Rattus norvegicus: one gene and its partners. Each later gene encodes a partner of the first gene's protein in a complex. Links are inferred from orthologs where the notes say so. Each region holds a gene or a part of one and is shown on either strand. Other genes may lie near its edges. The genes, in order: Ndufaf1, Acad9, Tmem186, Ecsit and Tmem126b.

The links.
Region 2: Ndufaf1 (region 1) and Acad9 share a complex: the UniProt entries of both Homo sapiens proteins name them as parts of the mitochondrial complex. The link is inferred for Rattus norvegicus from reciprocal best matches to the Homo sapiens genes NDUFAF1 and ACAD9.
Region 3: Ndufaf1 (region 1) and Tmem186 share a complex: the UniProt entries of both Homo sapiens proteins name them as parts of the mitochondrial complex. The link is inferred for Rattus norvegicus from reciprocal best matches to the Homo sapiens genes NDUFAF1 and TMEM186.
Region 4: Ndufaf1 (region 1) and Ecsit share a complex: the UniProt entries of both Homo sapiens proteins name them as parts of the mitochondrial complex. The link is inferred for Rattus norvegicus from reciprocal best matches to the Homo sapiens genes NDUFAF1 and ECSIT.
Region 5: Ndufaf1 (region 1) and Tmem126b share a complex: the UniProt entries of both Homo sapiens proteins name them as parts of the mitochondrial complex. The link is inferred for Rattus norvegicus from reciprocal best matches to the Homo sapiens genes NDUFAF1 and TMEM126B.

Annotation. Positions count from the first base shown.
Region 1 is NC_086021.1:127,101,218-127,105,240, reverse strand, and holds the start of Ndufaf1 (complex I intermediate-associated protein 30, mitochondrial), read left to right. Parts: upstream 1-1,220; 5' UTR 1,221-1,433; intron 1,434-1,908; exon of another isoform or gene 1,909-1,959; intron 1,960-2,432; exon of another isoform or gene 2,433-2,484; intron 2,485-4,023. UniProt on the Homo sapiens protein: As part of the MCIA complex, involved in the assembly of the mitochondrial complex I.
Region 2 is NC_086020.1:120,874,318-120,877,829, forward strand, and holds part of Acad9 (complex I assembly factor ACAD9, mitochondrial), read left to right. Parts: intron 1-1,034; coding exon 1,035-1,128; intron 1,129-2,220; coding exon 2,221-2,322; intron 2,323-3,004; coding exon 3,005-3,111; intron 3,112-3,512. UniProt on the Homo sapiens protein: As part of the MCIA complex, primarily participates in the assembly of the mitochondrial complex I and therefore plays a role in oxidative phosphorylation.
Region 3 is NC_086028.1:7,488,321-7,492,399, forward strand, and holds the start of Tmem186 (transmembrane protein 186), read left to right. Parts: upstream 1-1,278; 5' UTR 1,279-1,435; coding exon 1,436-1,438; intron 1,439-2,706; coding exon 2,707-3,354; 3' UTR 3,355-4,079. Other genes in the region: Pmm2 (phosphomannomutase 2), read right to left, coding at 1,117-1,170. UniProt on the Homo sapiens protein: As part of the MCIA complex, required for efficient assembly of the mitochondrial complex I.
Region 4 is NC_086026.1:28,891,558-28,895,769, reverse strand, and holds the start of Ecsit (evolutionarily conserved signaling intermediate in Toll pathway, mitochondrial precursor), read left to right. Parts: upstream 1-1,403; 5' UTR 1,404-1,455; intron 1,456-4,212.
Region 5 is NC_086019.1:153,857,832-153,862,136, reverse strand, and holds the start of Tmem126b (complex I assembly factor TMEM126B, mitochondrial), read left to right. Parts: upstream 1-1,498; 5' UTR 1,499-1,566; intron 1,567-3,094; coding exon of another isoform or gene 3,095-3,152; coding exon 3,153-3,288; intron 3,289-3,624; coding exon 3,625-3,736; intron 3,737-4,305. UniProt on the Homo sapiens protein: As part of the MCIA complex, involved in the assembly of the mitochondrial complex I. Participates in constructing the membrane arm of complex I.

The DNA of each region.
Region 1 (4,023 bases):
TTTCAGGGTTTGGTTCTCACACTCACATGGTGCCTACTATTCATTGGTTCTGATACCTTCAGGCCCCTGAGGGTACCAAATACACATGTTGCACTTACATATGCACAGGAACTAGCCTAGCAAAAATAAAGATACTCTAAAGAGATACTTTGCGTCTCTCAATCTATCAGATGATTTAAACAAAGAACCTCAAAGAAATGGGAGCTTCCCAAGGAATCTTAAGTAGGAAGAAGGAACAAACCCCTGACTTGTCTCTGGGAAAGATTTTCACAGTTTTTATAGGAAAAATTAGTGGGAAGACAGACTAAAAAGGCAGAGACTGTTTTAAGGGACCTCAACCTTTCCATGGGATGAAAGTTGAATGTAATTAGAGGGATTGTGGCAGACACACACACACACACACACACACACACACACACACCTTCATACTTATATACTTATACTTAGATAGCTACCAGGAGTTATGGCCTTGAACTCCCAGATATCCAAATACTTCTGCTTTCCCAGAGCTGGAATAAAAGTGTGGGCTACCATGTTAGTCTTGCTTTTAATTTTTAATTTGGCTCTTTTAATTGACTTATTGAGGATGGGTGATGGGAGCTGACTTGGGACACAGGTTGTGAACCCCAAGTTGGAAAACACTTTAATTGAAGTGTGCACAACGTATGCAACAGCTCTCCTGTGTGGATTATGTGGGGGGCACGATTGAGGAAAGCCTGGATTGGTTGCTATCTAGGTGTACAGTGGCTCTCCAGAAGCAGTTAAGTGGATTTCTGAAGTCACACAGCAGACAGTTCTCAAGGGACTACAGGGAAGACACACAAGTGGCCAGGCAAGTGAAGAGGAGTTAGTAGTGCGGAGATCCTGCTTGAAAAATAGGGGTTGGGGATTTAGCTCAGTGGTAGAGCGCTTGCCTAGGAAGCGCAAGGCCCTGGGTTCGGTCCCAAGCTCCGAAAAAAAGAAAAAGGAAAAAATAAAAGGATTGATATTTACATATGAGGGCGGATTACAAGAAGTAGAGCGAAGAGCTCGCTCACAAAGGACAGGAAATTTCAGAAAGCGAACCCGCTGGGGAACTTTGAATACCAAAAGCCTCAGGTTGTCCCATGCTTTAGGATACCTTTTGGTACTCTTGTACGACCTGAAACTCTATACACCTAGTTTGGTGCCGGACGGGAAAAATAGATGGACCTGCACCGGAAGCGTGGAGAACCGGGCGGAGAAAACAGAAGGACTGGCCGGAAGCCATATGTGGGGGGTCTGAGAAGGTAAGCTGACCCTTCTCCTAGATGGGAAACTCAGGGACAAGGAGGCGGGGAAGAGTCCTGGCAGGTGAGGGTTGAGGGGCCGTCACTCCTCGGGAGCGCCTAGCTTCCGGAGGCTGGGGACGTGGTTAACTCCGCCAGCCGAGAGGTGAACGCCTGGTCTTCAGAGTGACTTTTGTCTCTGGTTTGTGATCTCGAATAATTTAATTGTGGAGTCTCCTTTTCGTTAGTCTTTGTCATTGGAATAATACTAGAAGTTACCCGTCTCAGGATCAGGATTATTGTGAGAAATCAATAAAAACACACGGAGAATAGTTTCTGGCACATGGTAAGCCCTAGATTAACAGTCGTTTCTGTACATAGTAGTACAGTCATAGTACTAGGAGCGATGTGAACACCCTATTAAAAACTCACCGTTAGCTTCGGACCGATGTCACCTGGTTACTGAGTTTGAGTTTCTTGCAAGAAATTACTAAACAAAACACGAAGTTGTAGTATTGTTAGAAAAGTAATAAGATCTGAATGTCTCGAAAACAGGGTTAATAATGTTACTCATAACCCACCATTTTACCTTCTTACTACTTTAAGTCCTTTCCCCTATTAAAATTTTTTCTTTTTATAATTTTTCTTTTTCTTCGAAAAGGGGACACATGCTGACTACCTTGCCCTTGAACCTTCTACGTATCAGAAAATGGTAAATTCCTGATCCTTGTTTCTCTACTTCCCAAGAGCTGGGTTTTGTAAGTTGCACCCAAATCTTACCAGGACATTGATATTTAAAAGGTGTTCTCCATGAGCTGATGAGCCCTCACCTGGAAGGTAGAGGCAGGAGGATCAGGAGTTCAAGATCAACCTGGGTCACATGGGGCTCGTACCAAAAAGAAAAAGACTGACAGAATCTATTTGGCTGGGCATGGTAACAAATGTCTGTAATCCTAACACTTAGGTTGAGGAAGGATTAGATTCAAGACCTGTGTCTACTTTATTAGAAGCCCATTTTATCAAAATTGCCAGATGATTTAAAGGGACTATAAAGTTTAAGAAGCCCCTTGTTAGAGGGAATTATATAGGTGTGGTAAAAGCCATAAGATTCAGAACCCTCACACTTGTGACAGAGATAAAGTAATGTGGAGCTGCTTGTTCAAAAATATTAAATTTCCAGAATGCTGAGCATCATACTGGGACCTGGAGATACAGCATTGAATAGTCAACCATTAAGGTACTTACAGTCTGGGTTGGGGGACATTGACAAATGAAAAAGTCAGTAAACTGTAGCCAGCATTCGTTGGGAATAATTCATTCATAGGGACACTTCTAGGTGGAATTGGATAATCAAGAACAATTTTGCCCCCGTGGTGTAACATGGCTAAGCTAAATCTCAAGGGATCTGTTATTTGGGAAAAATCAGCAAAGAACATTCTTGGCCTAAGAGAAGCAATTAACTAAGGTGTGTAGTCCAAAAGGTGTTGGTTGGATCACAAGTATTCTGTCTGATGGAAACACACAATGAATTCATAGAGGTGAAGTTGGAGTGATGGCCAAGGAGACCTGGTCTAGAGTAGGAAGTAGATTTTATTGTGAATGTACATGGAGCTTCAGGAGGAATCTGTCTATCATCTGTTAACTGTTTGGTACTAGGGATTAAACCCAGGCTTCATGTATGGTCAGCATATACTCCACTGAGCTATCCCTGTAGGTACTCGAAGGGTTTTAATTGGTTAAAAGAATTGGTGTCTTTCTAGAGGCTGAGTGGGGAGTAAAAAAATGTGGCCCTGTGACAAGAGCAGTGATCTGAGAGAGAGGTGGGGGGGACCTCTGTGATGTGTGGATGAGAAAAGAGGGGCTTATCAGAAGCATGACAAGTTCTTTGTTTTAGTTAAAGTGGCCTGGGTGCTTCTTTTGGGTTGGCAAGGTGGGGTGGGGGTTCACTGTAGTTCAGTCTGACATACAGTCTATTGTTTAACCCAAGCTGGCCTGAAACTCATTGTGTAGCTCGTGCTAACCTTCACCTTAGGATGTTCCTGCCCAAGCTTTCCAAAACTATATGACAGGCATATTCTATCATACTTGGCCATGAGTAACACTTTGATATAGATTCAAGCAGCTAACAGGTGGACTAGATTGTTGAGGACTTAAAATTTATCATCATCATCATCATCATTATTATTATTATTATTATTATTATTATTATTATTATTATTATTAGGCGGTTGTCAGAGGGTAACTTTATGGAATCAGTTCTCTCCTTCACCTTCATATGGCTTCCAGGATCCAGCTTAGGTCTTCAAGTTTGAGTGCCAGCATTTCATCTGATAAGGCATCTTACCAGCCCCCTCCCTCACACCTTTTAGCCTTTTTTTTTTAATGTTCATTGATGTTTTGCTTGCATGTATGTCTGTGTAAGCATGTCAGAAGCTCTGGAGTGGCAGTTACAGATAGGTGAGAGCTGCCATGTGGGGGCTGGGAACTGAACCTGCATGGAAGAGCAGTCAGTGTTCTTAACTGCTGACCTTCCCACGCCCACTCCTTTCAAATGAGAGACTCTTGTTGTATGTGCTTGTTTTCACCATGTGCTGATATTGTAGTCTTTTGTTTAGAATTGTTCTCTGGTGCTATAGAGAAGTGGAATGAGAGAGCTGACCTCACACACTTGTCTTCTGTCCTCCACACATACAGCACAACACCCACATACTTGGCAAGTACTTACCCATAGGGTGACAGGCTCAAAGGTCATAGATCTTTGTTATTATATACCTTT
Region 2 (3,512 bases), on another chromosome or scaffold:
CAGTGCTAATGTAGAGAAGTCAGGAGAGTGAGTAATAGGACAGGGTAGGGACAATTGAAGGCTCCCCTTAATGAGAGGACCAAGGAGATAGGGGGGCTCCTGAGCCTGGAAACTTGTGCTCTGTCCCTGTTCAGCAGCCCTGGCTCCAAATATACACCCTATCCCAAGCAGCTAGAGGAGTAGCTAGAACTCAGAGGGCCACAGGTCCTCGAGCCTTATGGGATGATTTCAAAGGCCAGCAGGGAATCCTGGCAAGTTGTCCGCTAGTGATTAGAAGCCAAGTCATTCTCCAGGAGAAGAGTGGACATGAGAAGAGCTGGAATCTTACACAGGCATGGTTACTTCATGTTTCAGGACCTAAGTATGTCCTTTCTGATTCTCACAGCTACTTTTTCTGATGAACAGGATTATATAGGAAAAAACACACCAATAGAGGACATATAAGTTGCTCAAAGCCAGTCACGCACATATAGAGCAGCTAGGCTCAGGTTGATTCTTCTCCTGTGACCCTGCTACCTCACATGCTCAGCACAGGAAGCCAGTATCCACAACACAAGAAACAGCTGCCCAAACAGAGACACACAGGATGATTAACATATATTCTTACCATTGGGACCATCTGAGCTCACATAAAGACTGGGGTTCATTTTAGTGAGGAAGCCTCGTATCTGTTCTCTCCTACAAGTCTCAAAAGGACCTTGAGAGAATGTGACCTGCACATTGTGGGTGAGAAAGTGCAAGTGCTGCTGGAGTCTGATGGCTCCACACACCTAAATGTAATCCTAGGTTCTTATGGGGCACACTCTGCCGCTTGGTATTGATAAGGAAACTGTTGAAGATTGGGGTTCAGCCCACCTGCATGGGGAGGAAAATAGCTATAGATAGCATCTAAGCTAAGACCCATACCTGAGGTTTTGTGGGAAGTCACCTTTCTGCCTCCTTCCCAGGACCATTTCCCCTCTTTCCTTTGTGATAAACACAATAATGAGTAGTTGCTGAAAATTAAATTTGTCATCCATGTTTTTCATTTTTAGAAAGGAGTTTTCCCATTTCCAGAGGTTAGTCAAGAAGAGCTTAGTGAAATCAATCAGTTTGTGGGACCGTTGGAAAAATTCTTTAATGAAGAAGGTATGTATGGTTTTCTCTCATTGCTGTCTTGCATTACAAGATTGCACACACTGGAAGCACTGTAGACAGAAGCAGCTCCTAGTGTCATTACTAGGTTACACATAGTTCTGCTCATAGCGGGACCTGCAGGCATCACTCATTTCTGCCTACTTAAAAGATACTAATTTGGTCCTCCTGGTGTACAGCCTCTTTTAAATGTTTCTGTGTTGCCTCAGGCTAAAACTTGCAAACGACATGATAAAGTGAATAACTAGAAAAGATGAAAATCGCTGAGGCCAGGTGGTCCAGACTTGCTAATTGCATGCCTGGGGATGATATGCATGTTCCTAAGGCTCACGCCAGCTTCTTTGTACCGGCTGTTTTAGGGACCATTCACGGTCTGGGGCCCAGTATTTTCTCGGGGACCGTCTGCATTTCCCATTTGTCACAGTGGTGACATCTTGGATAGCTCCTTTAACAGCACAAACAGGATATTGCTATCAATACAAGCCTGCTGTCTTCACTCAGAGTTCTCAAAGCTTAGTGTATACTGGTGCGTGTGTGTGAGAGAGTGCGTGTGTCATCTGTGTGTGTGTGAGTGTGAGCCTGTGTGTGTGCGTGCGTGTTCATAGACAGTGCCGTCGTGTGTGTACAGTCATGAAGATACAGATTCCGTGAGATAGTGAAGATTCTCACACTGTCTTTTTAAAGATAAACATCTCTGGAAACTCCCTCAAAGTCACACCAAAGGTTTGGTTCCTAAATCATTCTAAAACCAGCTGACAAGATGAGCCATCATAGAGAGCATGTCTCCAGGAATCTGCATCATAGAAGTACATGCATGATACACTGCTACTTTACGTGAACCTGGTGACTAGCACCTAAACTAGGAGAAACACTTAGCACTAGTCACCTAAGAATACAGTTCTTACATACTTAATTACATAAAATCAACAACATGCCGAGGGAGCCTGACTAAACAACTTCGGGTTTTAGACATTTTCTACCAGTGATGAGTATACTCTTAAAAAAACCATTCTGTATACTTTTATTAAACACGAACTTATCTTACTTATTTTTACTTGCTTAATCAAGATAACTTGTTTTTGTCAGTGGACTCTCGAAAAATTGACCAGGAGGGAAAAATCCCAGCTGACACCTTAGCGAAGTTGAAGAGCCTGGGACTTTTTGGCATTCAGGTCCCAGAAGAATATGGTGAGTCAGCACAGTGGCCACCCACCTGGTGGGCTGGCTCTTCAGCAGGTGCTTCCCATGGGTGCATAAAGGCTTCTTGTTTAGGAGTCATGGTCTTTAAATCCAGTCTTCCAGATGTGCTCTGTGGGGCATTTTCCTGCCACACCCAAGTGATGCCATTACTGTAGCAAATGGGAGGTTTTCATGGTTCCTTACCTGTCTGTGTTGCCAGATACTGAAGTACAGCAGAAGGTGGGCCCTCGTGTATACAGACAGGATAAGTCCACAGCACAGCCAGATCTGGAGCCCTAGGTGAAACCGTGCACAGGGCAGCCTGCACGGCAGGAAACGAGCACCCAAGAGTCCAGTGCCACAGCAGAAGAGCCTTGGCCTGGCCGTCTGGGTTGGAATCCTAGAACAGGGACTGGCAGCACACTCAGAGACCTGCTGTCTGTGTAGGTGTCTGTGTTAACAGTTCAGCTTCCTCTGTGTTTCCTGCCTGGAAGGAATCTGAGGGTGTGCACAGAAGTGCTGAGTAAGGTATAGGTGACGTTTCATTGTGCCATTCTGTGGATTGTTAACTTTTAAAAATTAAAACAAAACTACTGTTGCTTTGAAATTAGGAAAATAAAATGGATACCTTTTCCTCAGCCAAGAGAAGCAGCTAGACTTGTCTGTCTATCTGTCTGTCTGTCTATCTTAGGTGGCCTGGGCCTCTCCAACACCATGTATGCCCGGCTTGGGGAGATCATCAGCATGGATGCGTCCATCACAGTGACCCTGGCAGCACACCAAGCTATCGGCCTCAAGGTCAGTTGTCTGGAGCTGCATTTGGGGGAGTAGGAGACAAGACTGTTTGTGTGACATAAATGGACTTTACAGCTCGGGGTCTGGAGGGGAAGCCCAGCCCTTTGAGACAAAGGTTAGTGCTGTCTTTAGAGATGAATCCTTCCCTGAGGTGTCCCGTCTTTATATATACCTTACTTGCTCCCTCAACTTTGCTTTAAGGCAGCTTCAAAGGCAAACATTAGATGCATACATCTCTGCTGTGTACAGGTGGAAGGCAGGTAATTGGATTCCATGTCTGGCATCGAAGCCCACAGTTGAGTCTCCAGACTGTAGTTACTTAGCAACAGGGTTGGGGTTGAAGAGCACAGCTTTGGAATGGGCATGTCTGTACTGTGTATAGTCCTAGCACCCCCGTGTATGCA
Region 3 (4,079 bases), on another chromosome or scaffold:
CAGTGGTTAATGCAGACTCATACCTGGTCAAAGTGCTAAGAATAAGTAGTACCCTTTATCAACCCTGCCAAGGCTCGGGGGCAGAAAGAATGTATGAGTTAGAGGATGGAGAGAAGTGTGGTAAACGAAATGCTGTCTTCTGGACATTATGAATTCAGCAACCATGGTTCCCTGTACAAGATCAAGCCAGTTAACATTTCAGCATGGGTGATATGTTGCCTATCACTTGATGGATGGCTGTGTGTGTGTGTGTGTGTGGTGTGTGTGTGTGTGTGTGTGTAGCACTAACTGGACTTAGAGAGGTATTAAAATAAAAATTTTAAAAAGGACATGAAAACAGAAGAGGGTGTGTGGGTCAGTGTTCTCCATAGGGAGCACAGGAAGGTTGGGGGGGGGGTGAATACAATCGGATACACTGTACACATGTAATTGCAAAGGAATAAAAAAATTAAAAAAAAGATAGACTGACATATCTAAGGTTACACACACTACAGGGGCTTCTGGGACACAGTCCACGAAATCTAAAAGGGGTGGGGCAGAGGTGGCGACACCCAAGCTATTTGAGCCTACTCTCATTTGTATGATTTCTGTTCAATCATGCATTTGTGCATAGGAGGCAGAGAGAATGCCATCACCAGAACGAACCCACACAAACTTATCTTTGGCTATAACAAGTTCGGTTAGCGGAAGGAAGTCCCACCGGACTTTCTAATTAGTCTCTGTGATCCTCACCTAAGCATCACATTTAAAGGGGCTTCAAGGACTCCGCGAAAGACATTTGCTCAAGGTCAGACAGCTGAAAACCTGCCCTTGATATACTAGAAGAGACAGTCAGAGGTGACAGGGCTGGGGAGGTGACACAGCAGGTCAGAGGGTGGAGGCTGGAGTTCAATCCAGGACACCAGACCCGAGGAACCCTAGAAGAAATTCGGACCCGAACTTTTCGACTCTGAACACGTTTCCTACTCGGAAGGCTTTTCTGGCCCCCTCTTCCTGCGCATCCCACTCAGGACCCCGCTCAGGACCTAGGTCTACTGGTTCCCGGACAGTCCTTACGGCGGTCTGGGGCAGCAAGGGCTCTGCCCCACCACCAGGAGCTCCCCGGGCGCCGCCTACCTGCCGCGGGGCAGTCAAGGTCCCATCCATGTCAAAGAGACAGAGCGTGGCCATTTCTCCAGTCAGAAGACTCGTTGGCACCCGGAACTCCACCCGGAACTTCCGGGTCCGCTCCGAGCCCCGGAACTCCAAGGCACGATGGGAAGATTCTCTAATGGCTTACGGGACACTCGGGGCGGATACAAAATTTGAACTACAGTTCCCAAGCCGTAGTACTTTTTTTTTTTTTCCTTGAGTTAGCGCATTAACCTCCCGCGCATGAGCCCTTCAAGTTTCCGGGGACAAGGTCGGCGTACTTCCTGTAGCAGGCGACAGGCTCATGGTAGGAATGTCAGGTGGTGGGCGGTAAAGGAGGGACCGCACTTAGCGACCGGGTCCGGCCTACGACTGGCAGGAAGGATACCTGGGCTGCCCACTCGGGAAATCAGTCGGTGGAAGGCCAGAGTGTATTTTTACGTGCTATTTCTCTGCCTTGTTTCTTTCCCTTGGGTCACATGGACGGTCTTCATCGTCCCAGTGCGCACACCAAGTTCAGCGCTTAAGAACCATGTCTCGGGGTTGGGATTTAGCTCAATGGTAGAGCGCTTGCCTAGCAAGCTCAAGGCCCTGGGTTCGGTCCCCAGCTCCGAAAAAAAGAGAGAGAGAGAGAAAAAAAAAAAAGAACCATGTCTCCCTAGCGTATTCTGAGGTTTTCTTTGGAAAGATGAAGGATGCACAGTTAGTGTCCTCTTACTCTGAAGCCCAGAATTTGCTCACTCTTCTACTTATTCCAGACAGTCATTGTGCAGTGTGTTGAGGGCCTCCGTGCCTCACTTCTCTGCTTCCCAACCAGGCTAATTCATGCGAAGAAATTCTCTTGGCGTGTAAGGCAGTCAGAGGACTGCAAAGGTTCTGTGATAAGTACCCCATGGTTTTGTTGTGTGGGTTTCCGACACCGATTGATTTACCCTTTGAGGAAGGAAGGAAGTTTTAAGTGCACTGTTGGCCCATCTCTGTTGAATGGCTGGACGTACAGGTTTTCTATGTTTATTTGGACCTGCTCGGGGGAAAGGACCTGTCTGAGTGTCAGAGACTGCTTTTGTTTCCTTGCACTTGGGGCCAGGGCCAGGGGTGGGGAGGGCCTAGGGTTTTTTTGGTGTTGTTGGTTTTTTTGTTTTGTTTTGTTTTTTAATGCTTTTTTAAAATTTGTTTTAATCGTGTGTGTGTTTAGTTCGTGTGCATTTACTTGTGCTATGGCATGTAGGGGTCCAGGATGTCCTGCTTGAGTAATTTCTCTTCCTCCACCATGTTGGCTTCAGGGATCAAATTCACCCGGTTTGGTAGCAAGCCCCAGTTCTAGATGGGCTATCTCACTGGCTAGGATTAGGGTTTTGTTTTGTTTGCTTGCTTATTTAGTTGTAAAAAATGGGAGAATGGTACTTATCTAGAGTAGAATTCCACAAAAAATAAAGCTTCTGGCTTTATCACTTACTTTCCTCTGGCAGTCACGGTGTCTTGCCAGGGTTGGTTGAAGCCTTTCTGGGAGATGCTTTGCCTTGTTCATTGTGTGATTAGCCTGGATGATTTCTGAAAGGAACCTCTCTCTTCCAGGCTTTCCTCCTTCGAGCTGTGCCAAGGCTGCAGGGGCCCGCTGCATGGAGGAGGCCTCTACAGCAACTGTGGTGCCGTGCTGGGCAGGGGGATTCCATAAGGTGGGTGGGGAGCAGGTCTCCCCCCTCACAGGAGAAGCCACCAGGCACAGAGACTGAAAAATTCCACACAATCTACCGCTTCAATGCCATCAGAGCACTTGGGTTCCTGTCTCGGCTGAAGTTGGCACAGACAGCTGTGACTGTGGTGGCCCTGCCCCCAGGCTTCTACTGCTACTCACAAGGCCTCATGACCCTCAGCTCACTGGGCCTTATGAGTGGGATTGCCAGCTTTGCCCTGGTCATGCTGTGCTGGATGAGCCACTTCTTCCGGAGACTGGTAGGCATCCTCTATGTGAATGAGTCAGGTACCTTGCTTCGAGTGGCCCACCTGACCTTCTGGGGCTGGCGACAGGACACATACTGTGCCGTGTCAGACATGATACCCCTGTCAGAATCCGAGGAACGGGTCCAGGATGTGTTCGTGCGTATCCAGCAGTACAGTGGCAAGCAGACCTTCTACCTCACCCTACGCTATGGCCGAATCCTGGACAGGGATCGTTTCTCACAAGTATTCGGAACCCTGGCCACACTCAAGAACAGCAAGTAGGCCGTTGTAGCCCTGGTCAAGAACATGGATGAGACAAAAGCTAATACCAGGGACTGGGCTGATGCTCACTTTGTAGACTGCTTGCCTAGCATGTAGGACTTCACATCCTGGGTTCAGTCCCTAGTACTGCATAGAACCAGCCATGACTGTGCCTGCCTGTACTCAATACTGGTGACATAGGCAGGTGGAGAAGTTCAAGGTTGCCTTGGGCCAAAAAGGAAGGCATTAACCAGCTTTAGGAAAAAGCCCTTAGTGGAACATTATACTATATAGGACATCCTGTCAGATAGTGGCCAGAAGTCTCTATGAAGAGGCAGTTCCTAGAGGAGCACTATGCCAAGATCGCCGAGGCAGCCCGCTGCTGTGAAGCTGCAAGGTGGGAGGGTTGGCAGAGGAGCATAGGATGTGGAGCCTGGGGACTTGGGTTCTGCTGAGCCTTAGTTCCTTGACCTGGGACAGGGTATTGAGTTCCTGAACCTTGAATTGCACTCTGAGATGGAAGACCCTTCCTCTCATGAGGACGGATATGAAAATAATAATGGCTGTGGCTGTGGCTTTGTGACAGAGCTCTTGCCTAGCATGTGTAAAGTCCTAAGTTCCATACCAGCACCATGAACAGGCAAAACCAGTGTGTAAGGTAAGCAGCCAGAAGTTACAACGTAGAGCAAGGCTTCCAGGCTGCCACTGGGGTCCATCACTGGTCCTCAGGCTCACCAGCTGAATGG
Region 4 (4,212 bases), on another chromosome or scaffold:
CTGGCTAGCCAGGCCAAGCAACACAGCAGGACCCTGTCTAAGCAAAACAAAAGGACTGGGGCTATACCTCAGTTGGTAGAGTAACTGCCTACAATGTCAGAGGCTCTGGACTGTACCCCAGCACTACAGAGACAATGTGTGGTGGCATAGGCCTGTAATCCCAGGACAAAAGAGACAGGAAGATCAGATAAGTCAAATTCAGCTACACAGAAGTTCAAAGCTAGTCCAGGCTGCACAAGACCTTGTCTTAAAAATGATTACTTATGAGGTTGGCAGGTTAGCTTGGTAAAGTGCTGTCAAGTCTGATGGCTGAGTTCAATCCCTGGGACTCCCAGGATAGATTATAGCAAATTATCGCCACATGCACCACCCGCAAAATAAAACAATGTTAAAAAAAAGCCTATATTCAATCAATATATGTATATGTGTATGCGTCTGTGTATGCATATGAATAATATATCTATATGTAATCGCTATTATCTATACACACATACAACAAATCCAGGGCCATCCAATCATCTACACATACACTCCATAGGCCTCTAAGCTCTCAGTGTGGGTGGTCTGAAGAGTCAATCTAGACTCCCAGTTGGGGAGGGAGAGAGGGGTGTCAGGAATGCATGTCCTTTCTCACAGTAGCCCTTGTTGTACTTATATGGCCATTTCACATAGATGAATTCAAACTTCAAAAATTGTTACTTAGGGGCGGTAAAAGTGCTCATAGCCAAGCCTGATGACCCAGGTTTCATCCCCAGTACCCACATGGAAAGAACATTCCCCCTAAGTTGTCCTGACTTCCACACGAACGTGCTCACACAGATTTACTTACACACATAACACACAATGAAAATAAACATAACTTGACATTCTGTTAAAGCTGTTGGCAGTGTTGCCCACCTGAAGTTCCAGCTATTCAGGGGGCTGATCCCTGAGGATCTCTTGAATCCAGGGTTTTGAGGCCAGGCTGAGTACCACTGCAAGACCCTGACTCAAACAACTGGACCAACCAAACTAAAAAAACCCGTTTAGTAAAAAGAATAAGAATAAATCCCGGGACTTAGGCTGTGGCTTAGCAGACAGCGGTAGAGTGCTTGCTTAGCACGCAAGAGGCCATGGGCTCCGAACCGGATGTGGTGCTTCCAGTCCGTAACAATAATTTACCATCACGGCGGAGAAAACTGGACCGGACAGACGTAGGGGAACCCGATCCAGCGCCTCCGCACCGGTACCCAAGGCTTCTAGAGTTCGGTGAGCAGCAGGGCCTGCTCCTGAGGAGAAACCAGTGTCTTCCGCCTTCCTATTGGTGGATCTCCACTTGAGGGCGGGACCTATCGTCACAGGTTTTTCTGATTTGCTGTCACCTTCGACTCGTAACCGGAAGCTGTGTGGCTCAACATGACGGCGCCCAGCGGTCCCAGCTAGCCTGCTCGGGTGTGCGGGTGGCCGCGTGAGTAGGTGGGTCGCGCGTGGGAGGGCTATGGGACCGTCTGGGATTGGGGCGTCCACTTCCAAGCCTGGTAGAGCCGGGGAATATGACCTTCAACTCGACCTCAGTCAGGGCACTGTGACCTTTTCAGGTGCAGGCTTGGGAATGAGCAAGGAAAGGTTGCTGGGCACCTCTTGCTGCAGGCGTTCGTTTCACAGATGGGATAGCGGACTCGGGCAACGTACATTGTCTGTGAGGCAGGCATTGGAACCTTCCAGCCTCAGAGACTCAAAATCGTGCCAGCCCACACGCATACATACACGCTACCTCGCTGTTCCGATTTATCCATGTCTTGTAGAAACTTTCTGCTTATTCACACTCAGTTGATCGGTGTTGGGCATTTACAGTGTGCCAAGCACTGACCCAGTTGGTGGAGACACAACAATGAGAAAAACAGATTTTTTAAAAAAGTACTATCTAGGAGAGCCAATTATTGAGCAAATCACACACACACAGAACAGGTAATCTCGTGATTTCAAAACAGTGATTGTTGCAAGCAGTGTGTTTTTCCCTGATTCAAGAGTCTTTATGTGTCCCAAGCTGGCCTCGAACCCATCATGATCGTCCTCCTGCTTCAGCCCCCGAGTTCTGGATTATAGGCATACACCAAAACAGTAAACAGTAGGCAGAGGGTAAAACAAGTTCAAAGCCTGGGAAACCAATAAACTTGTCTTGTTTCAGAAACAGTGTAGCTGGTGCTACAAGAGAAAGGGGGAGTACAGCAGGTAGAAGCCATCCGATGTGTATTTACTTTGAAGTTTTATTTTGGTTATGGTGTGGGGGGTGGGACACATGTGCCATGGTGCATGGTGCAGGTCAGAGGGCAGCTCTGAGGTTTTATCCATACACCTTAGGTTGGTTCCAGGGTTTGAGCTCAGGTCATTAGGTTTGCTTTGTTTTGACAGCAAGTTCCTTTCCCAGCTGAATTCTCTCTCCCTGCTCTTGTTTAAAGTTTAGACAGGACCTTTCTGTAGCTCAGACTGCCATGGAGCTCACTAACGATCTCCAGCTGTTTTGATTCTGGAGGCCATCCTCCTGCCTCACACTCCCCAGTGCTGGCTTTACACACACAACACCTATCTCAAGCACATTTTCTTTTTAAAGACAGGGTCCCACTATGTAGCCCTGGTTGGTCTGGAACTTGCTGTCTGTATAGATTGGTTTCACCTCAAACTCAGATCCGCCAGCCTGTGTCTCCCAAATGCTGGGATTACAGGTATGTGCTATCACACCCAGCATTCTTGTGTGTTCCTGTGTGGGTACAGGGATGTATGTTAGTGCATGTACACATGTAAGCACATGTATGGAGGAAAAATGTCAACCTAAGATGTTGTTCTTCAGGAGCTGTCCACCTTGTGCTTTGGGGCCTGCTGCAGGGAGCTCAGGGCTCTGTTACAGGGAGTTCAGGGCTCTGTTGCAGGGAGCTCAGGGGCCTGCCTGCTTCTGCTTTCTCAGATTCCTCAGATTGCAAGTGCATGGCACCTCACCTGGCTTTGTAATGGGTGCTGGAGCTCAGGTCCTCATTCTTTCAGGGCAAACAGTTTACCAATGGATCCATCTTTCCAGCACAACTGGTTTCTGTTGTTAAGAGCTTCCTTTTGCAATGGAGGGAAGTAACTAGCAGGGCAGAGAGAAGGCAGAAAGGTATGCAGGAAATCACTGTGGAATGGTATGGTGGCCTGCAAGGGGATAGGTTTGGAAGTAGTCTCCAGGACTATCTATTGACTGAATAGGGACATAGTGACTGCTGAGCAATTCTTACATTGGGGCCTGAATAACCAGGAAGGGTGGTGCTACTGGCTGGCCTCCAGAGAAGCACAGTCAGCAAAGGTGTTGTCAGTGTTCCCTGGATGGAGTTTGGCATGGCTGGTTTGTACCAAAGTTATACTTAGGTATGGAGGCAAAAACATTAGGGAACCATGAGCATAAACACTAACAACTCTAATGCATGAGGAGCCACCTATGGGTGTTACAATGCAGATTCTCATGCAGTAGACCTGAGTTACAGCCAACATTCTACAGGTCCTGGAACACAATTTGCAAGGTTTTAGAGTCTTTTTATCCAACTATACCAAGCAAGTACCTACCTTGAGCCACACCATCAGCCTTTCCGTGGGGGATTCTAGATAACACTGAGTCTCAGTTCCAGCCACTCACTAGGGGAATCTAGCAGAGGCTCACTGGGCCCAGCAGCTCCCTGGAGGAGTCTAGGCCAGGTCTATAGAGTCCCAGCCTGAGTCCAGTCTAGTTACATTTCCTAGGCCAGCAGCTGTTGATAAAAGTTGTCAGAAGTATGGTCATGTTTCCACTAAGCCTGAATCTACAGGTTTTGTGCTCCCAGGGCATTTGTCTGCACCCTTGGCAGTGTTGCAGATAATGCTGACATTGAAAGGCATCTCATGATTGGCTGAGAAGTAGGCACGGGTGCCAGGGAGAAACCCAAGGATGTTAGCAAGGACTATAAGGGAGGGGACGTCACTGTCTGATACTTGGAAGTTGACACCTCAAAGTCATTGCCTTCAAAGTGTTGAGCACAGCGGTGCATTGGGCGGGCATTACTGACAGGACTAGGGCAGCCGTCAGGCTGCTGAGGAGGAGGAACCAGTGTGTAATCATGGCTTAGGGGAAGCTCTAAGGATAAAGAAAGCAGGGAGTGGAGGGAGATTTGGGGCCAAGATGGGAGATACTGGAAAAAGAGTTGGATTTTTTTTCTCCTTAAATAGGTT
Region 5 (4,305 bases), on another chromosome or scaffold:
TCTGTCCGGGCTTCACGGTATAACACATAGCGATTTCTGACAAAGACTCTGCTTTCTATCCTAGGACCTACTAGAAAACTGAACTACAACATAAAATCCAAGATAACCATGAACTAGACCAGAACAATACCCCTCTCTGATTCATTGTTATTGTTGTTGTTGTTGTTGTTGTTGTTTCTGTATTCTCCAAAGCATTTCCTGCTCTCCTACCTACCCTTATATCCAAAAATAATCTCCAAAACAGGCTCAGGCTTTGATGAGAGAAGACAAGTGTGGTGGTTTGAACATGAATGGAACTCATAGACTCACATGTCTAATAATCCCATAGGAAGTGACATTATTAGAAATGTGGCCTTGTGTGTCACTAGGGTAGGGGGCTTTGAGGCTTCCTATGCTCAGGCGGGAAGGAGGTTGAAGCTTCCTGTGCTCAGGGTACACCCAGTGTGGCATACAGTCTCCCACTGCCTTCAGATCAAGCCAGCACTGAACCTCTGAAACTGTAAACCAGCCCCAATTAAATGTTTTTCTTTATAAAAGTTGCTTTGGTCATGGTTTCTCTGCACAGCAATAAAACCCTAACTAAGACAACAAGAAATCTTTGTCAACATACAGGTACTATTTCTGCTGATACTTCAAGAGGATTAAAAATCAGGGCCCTCTACTCTTTTGGATTGAACAGAGGAAGATGTGCTGAAGGAAAACAAAATCACCATCTCAGTGGCAAGACAAGCTTTCTGAAACTCAATTTTCCAAGCTATTGTCTTAGTCATTGTTCTAATGCTATGAAAAGACACCATGACCACAGCACCCCTTATAAAACAGACTTGCTTATAGTTTCAAAGGTTTAGTTCATTATCATTTAATAGCCCTGGTGCTAAAAAATTATATCCTGACCCACAGGCAGCACAGACAGACAGACAGACAGACAGACAGACAGACAGACAGACAGACAGACAAGTACCTGACCTGACAAAGGTTTTTGAAACCCCAAAGCCCATGTTCAGTGAAACACTTCCTTAGACAAAGTCACAACTGCTAATCCTCTAAATCCTCATATAATGCCAGTGCCGTTCCCTGATGGCTAAGCATTCAAATACATGAGCATATGGGGAGCCATTCTTACTCAAACCACATATGTAAACACAGAAATAATAGTTTTCCCAATTTTTATGTAACTCACAAAAAAAAAAAATCAACCCCACTGTAACAAATAAGAGTCCAGTAAATACTATTTTTTAAAATATGTGAAAGCGGATAACACAGTACCTAGAACATTCCTAGACTCTAAGTGTATTTAGTCTGAATATAGTTTTATAAAGTTTTGTTTAATATTAGTGTGGTTAGCTGTCATGACTCTGGAATTTTGTGTTTTCCAGGACATCAAGATGGCACTTTACAAGCATGGTCGGCTGATTCCCTCTCTAGGAGATGCGAAGTTCGGAAGACCAATGATCGCTGAAATCTTAGAGAAAAAGTTTGAGTCTTATAGAAACGACCAGTAAGAGACACAGTGATAACTGACCAGCGACTTTACTTGTGCATCCTTCCTATTCCCAGTCTCTGAGGGTTAAGAAACTATTTGTTTTTTGCTTCTTCTCTTTGTCTCCTCAAAACTTTTATTTCCTGGGTAGTGTCACTGTGTAACATTTTGCCAAAATGTTTTTCCTTTAGGCTTTCAGTTTTTCTTGCAACTATTCTGCCTCTAATGGCAGCCTGAATTGCTTGAGAATCTTCTAGATCAGTGATTCTCAACCTAGGGGGCATGACCCCTTTGGAGGTTGCATATCAGGTATCCTGCATGTCATATGTTTACATTACAATTCATAACAGTAACACAATTGCAGTTAGGAAGTAGCAACAGAATAATTTTCTGTTAGGGGGTCACCACAACATGAGGAACTGTATTAAAGGATCTCAGCATTAGGAAGGTTGAGAACCACTGGTCTAAATATTTACATATGGGAGTGGTGGGGTTGAGGAAAATTGGCAACAATGAAGTTCCAAAAGATGCCTTTACAAAAGTCCTGAAAACACATCTAGTAAATAATAGAAAAGCTATTTATTGAGGTGGTTACAAACTGGACAAAAATGTCAATGAATTGATATGTTGGCTTATTAGACTTTAGATAAACTCTTTTGCTTCTTTTTATAAGGCTTATTCTGTGTGTGTGAGAGATAGACAGATAGACAGACAGACACTATATGCCATTTATGTCTGCACATGCTAGAAAGCTTCTGGGGGAAGCTAGAAAAGAGCTTTGGATACCATGGAACTGTCATCAGAGGCTGCTTGTAAGCCCTAAGATGTGGATCCTGAGAACCAAACCCCTTCTTTTGCTTTTTTAAAAAAAAAAGCCCAAATTTATTGCTGAGATACTATTTGTACAAATATTTTTTAAATTAAAAGCAATTAGTATGAAACTATTTTGAAGGCTACTTGTATTTTACTGATGGACAGTTATGATTAAAGTCAGTTTAGCAAGGCTAGAGTGATGGCTTAGAGGTCAAAGCTCTTCATGTCTGAGGACTGCATTTTGGATCCCCGAAAACCCGTAGAATTTCCAGGTGGATATAGCAGTTCAAGCCTTCGAGGCAAAGACAAGTGACCCCCAGAGCAAGCTGGCAGGCAATACTAGTGTGAGCTCTAAGTTTAAGAGACTGATGCTCATGATCTCAGCCAAGGTACTGGGGATAAGGATGACTAGAGAATGTGGAAAGGACTATGGCATGATGACCTCGGACTACTATGGTGACTTTCAGTAAAAGAGCTCAAGACTAAGCTAAACAACAGGTATACTTGAAAGCTTTCTTCATTCAGGTCAGAGCCAGAATTAAGTAAAAGCAAATCTGGCAGATCTCATTCATTGAAGTTTTATAAACCACAGATAAATTATTTTAGATGTATCTGGACCAGTTCACAAATGGTTCTTTTCTAGACAGGCTAACCATGTGAAAATAGCTTTTATTCTAGAGGATCTTAAACAATTTTCTTTCATTGAGACAATTATTTTAATAACAAGAAATACTAGATGCTGGGTAAATATGTGACTCATTTCAAGAATGCATGCTAAACTTCTTTCTTTGTTCCTCTTAGGACTTTAAATATACGTGGAACTTTATTCTTTGGAGTAAGTAGTAGTTTGTCTGGCGTTATGGCAAACTTAGTATTCAGATACAGTTTCAAGGTTAAGTATGAAGCTTTGAGGACCTATGCATCCCTGACTACCCTTCCATTTGTGGCTACCGCCGTTACTTACAAGCTCTTTGTGACTGATGCTCTGCAATCAGGTAAATTTAAATTCATCAGTATATAACGTAACTATAACAAATTAAAATTGAGGCCAGCCTGGTCTACAAGTTCCGGGACAGCCAGGGCTGTTACCCGGAGACACTTTGTCTCGAAAAATAAAACAAAACAGAAAAAGCACATATGAATGGTAATCCTCCATATGCTAACACACAATAAAGAGTTTCAGAACAAGGCACCGGGCTTTGAATTCCTAATATTCTATCTACTGTTTACCTTTAGTTGCAAACAGCAAAGTAAGTGTGCTTTGATAGACAGCTTCATTTTAACAGTTATCCTAAATCTTAAAGAAAACTAACTTTTCTCTCCCTTCCTAGGTAATATAAGCCAGGAAAGCTGTGTTCTGAGAAGCTCACTGATCGGCGTAGCCTGTGGGGTCTCCTATCCCAGTGCTTTGGCTTTTTATAAAAATGGACGCTTAGCAGTTAAGTAAGTAGTCCATTCCTTCCCTTCCTCTTTTCTTTATTCTTGTTCACCTAGTTCCCACACCTCTCCCCTTCGTGTGTGTGTGTGTGTGTGTGTGTGTGTGTGTGTGTGTGTGTGTGTGTGTGTGTGTGTGTGTTGGGTTCTGGGGATCAAATTTGGTCCTCACAGTTGAGTGAGGACCTAAGCATTTTACTGACTGGACTATCTTCACAACCTCCCTCTCTCCTTTGTTGTTGTTGTTGTTGTTGTTGTTGTTGTTTGTTTGTTTGTTTTTTGTTTGTTTGGTTGGTTGATTGATTTTTTTAATGGAATATATTATTTATTTACATTTCAACTGTTACCCTCTGTCCCAGTTTCCCCTCTGGAAGCCCCCATCCCTTACCCCCTCCACCTGCTTCTATAAGGGTGCTCCCCCACCCACCCACCCACCCACTCCTGCCTCCCCACCCAGGCATTTCCCTACACTGGGGAAATCAAGCCTTCACAGGACCAAGGGCCTCTCCTCCCATTGATGTCACCACAAGGCCATCCTCTGCTACATGGTAGCTGGAGCCATGGGTCTTTCCATGTGT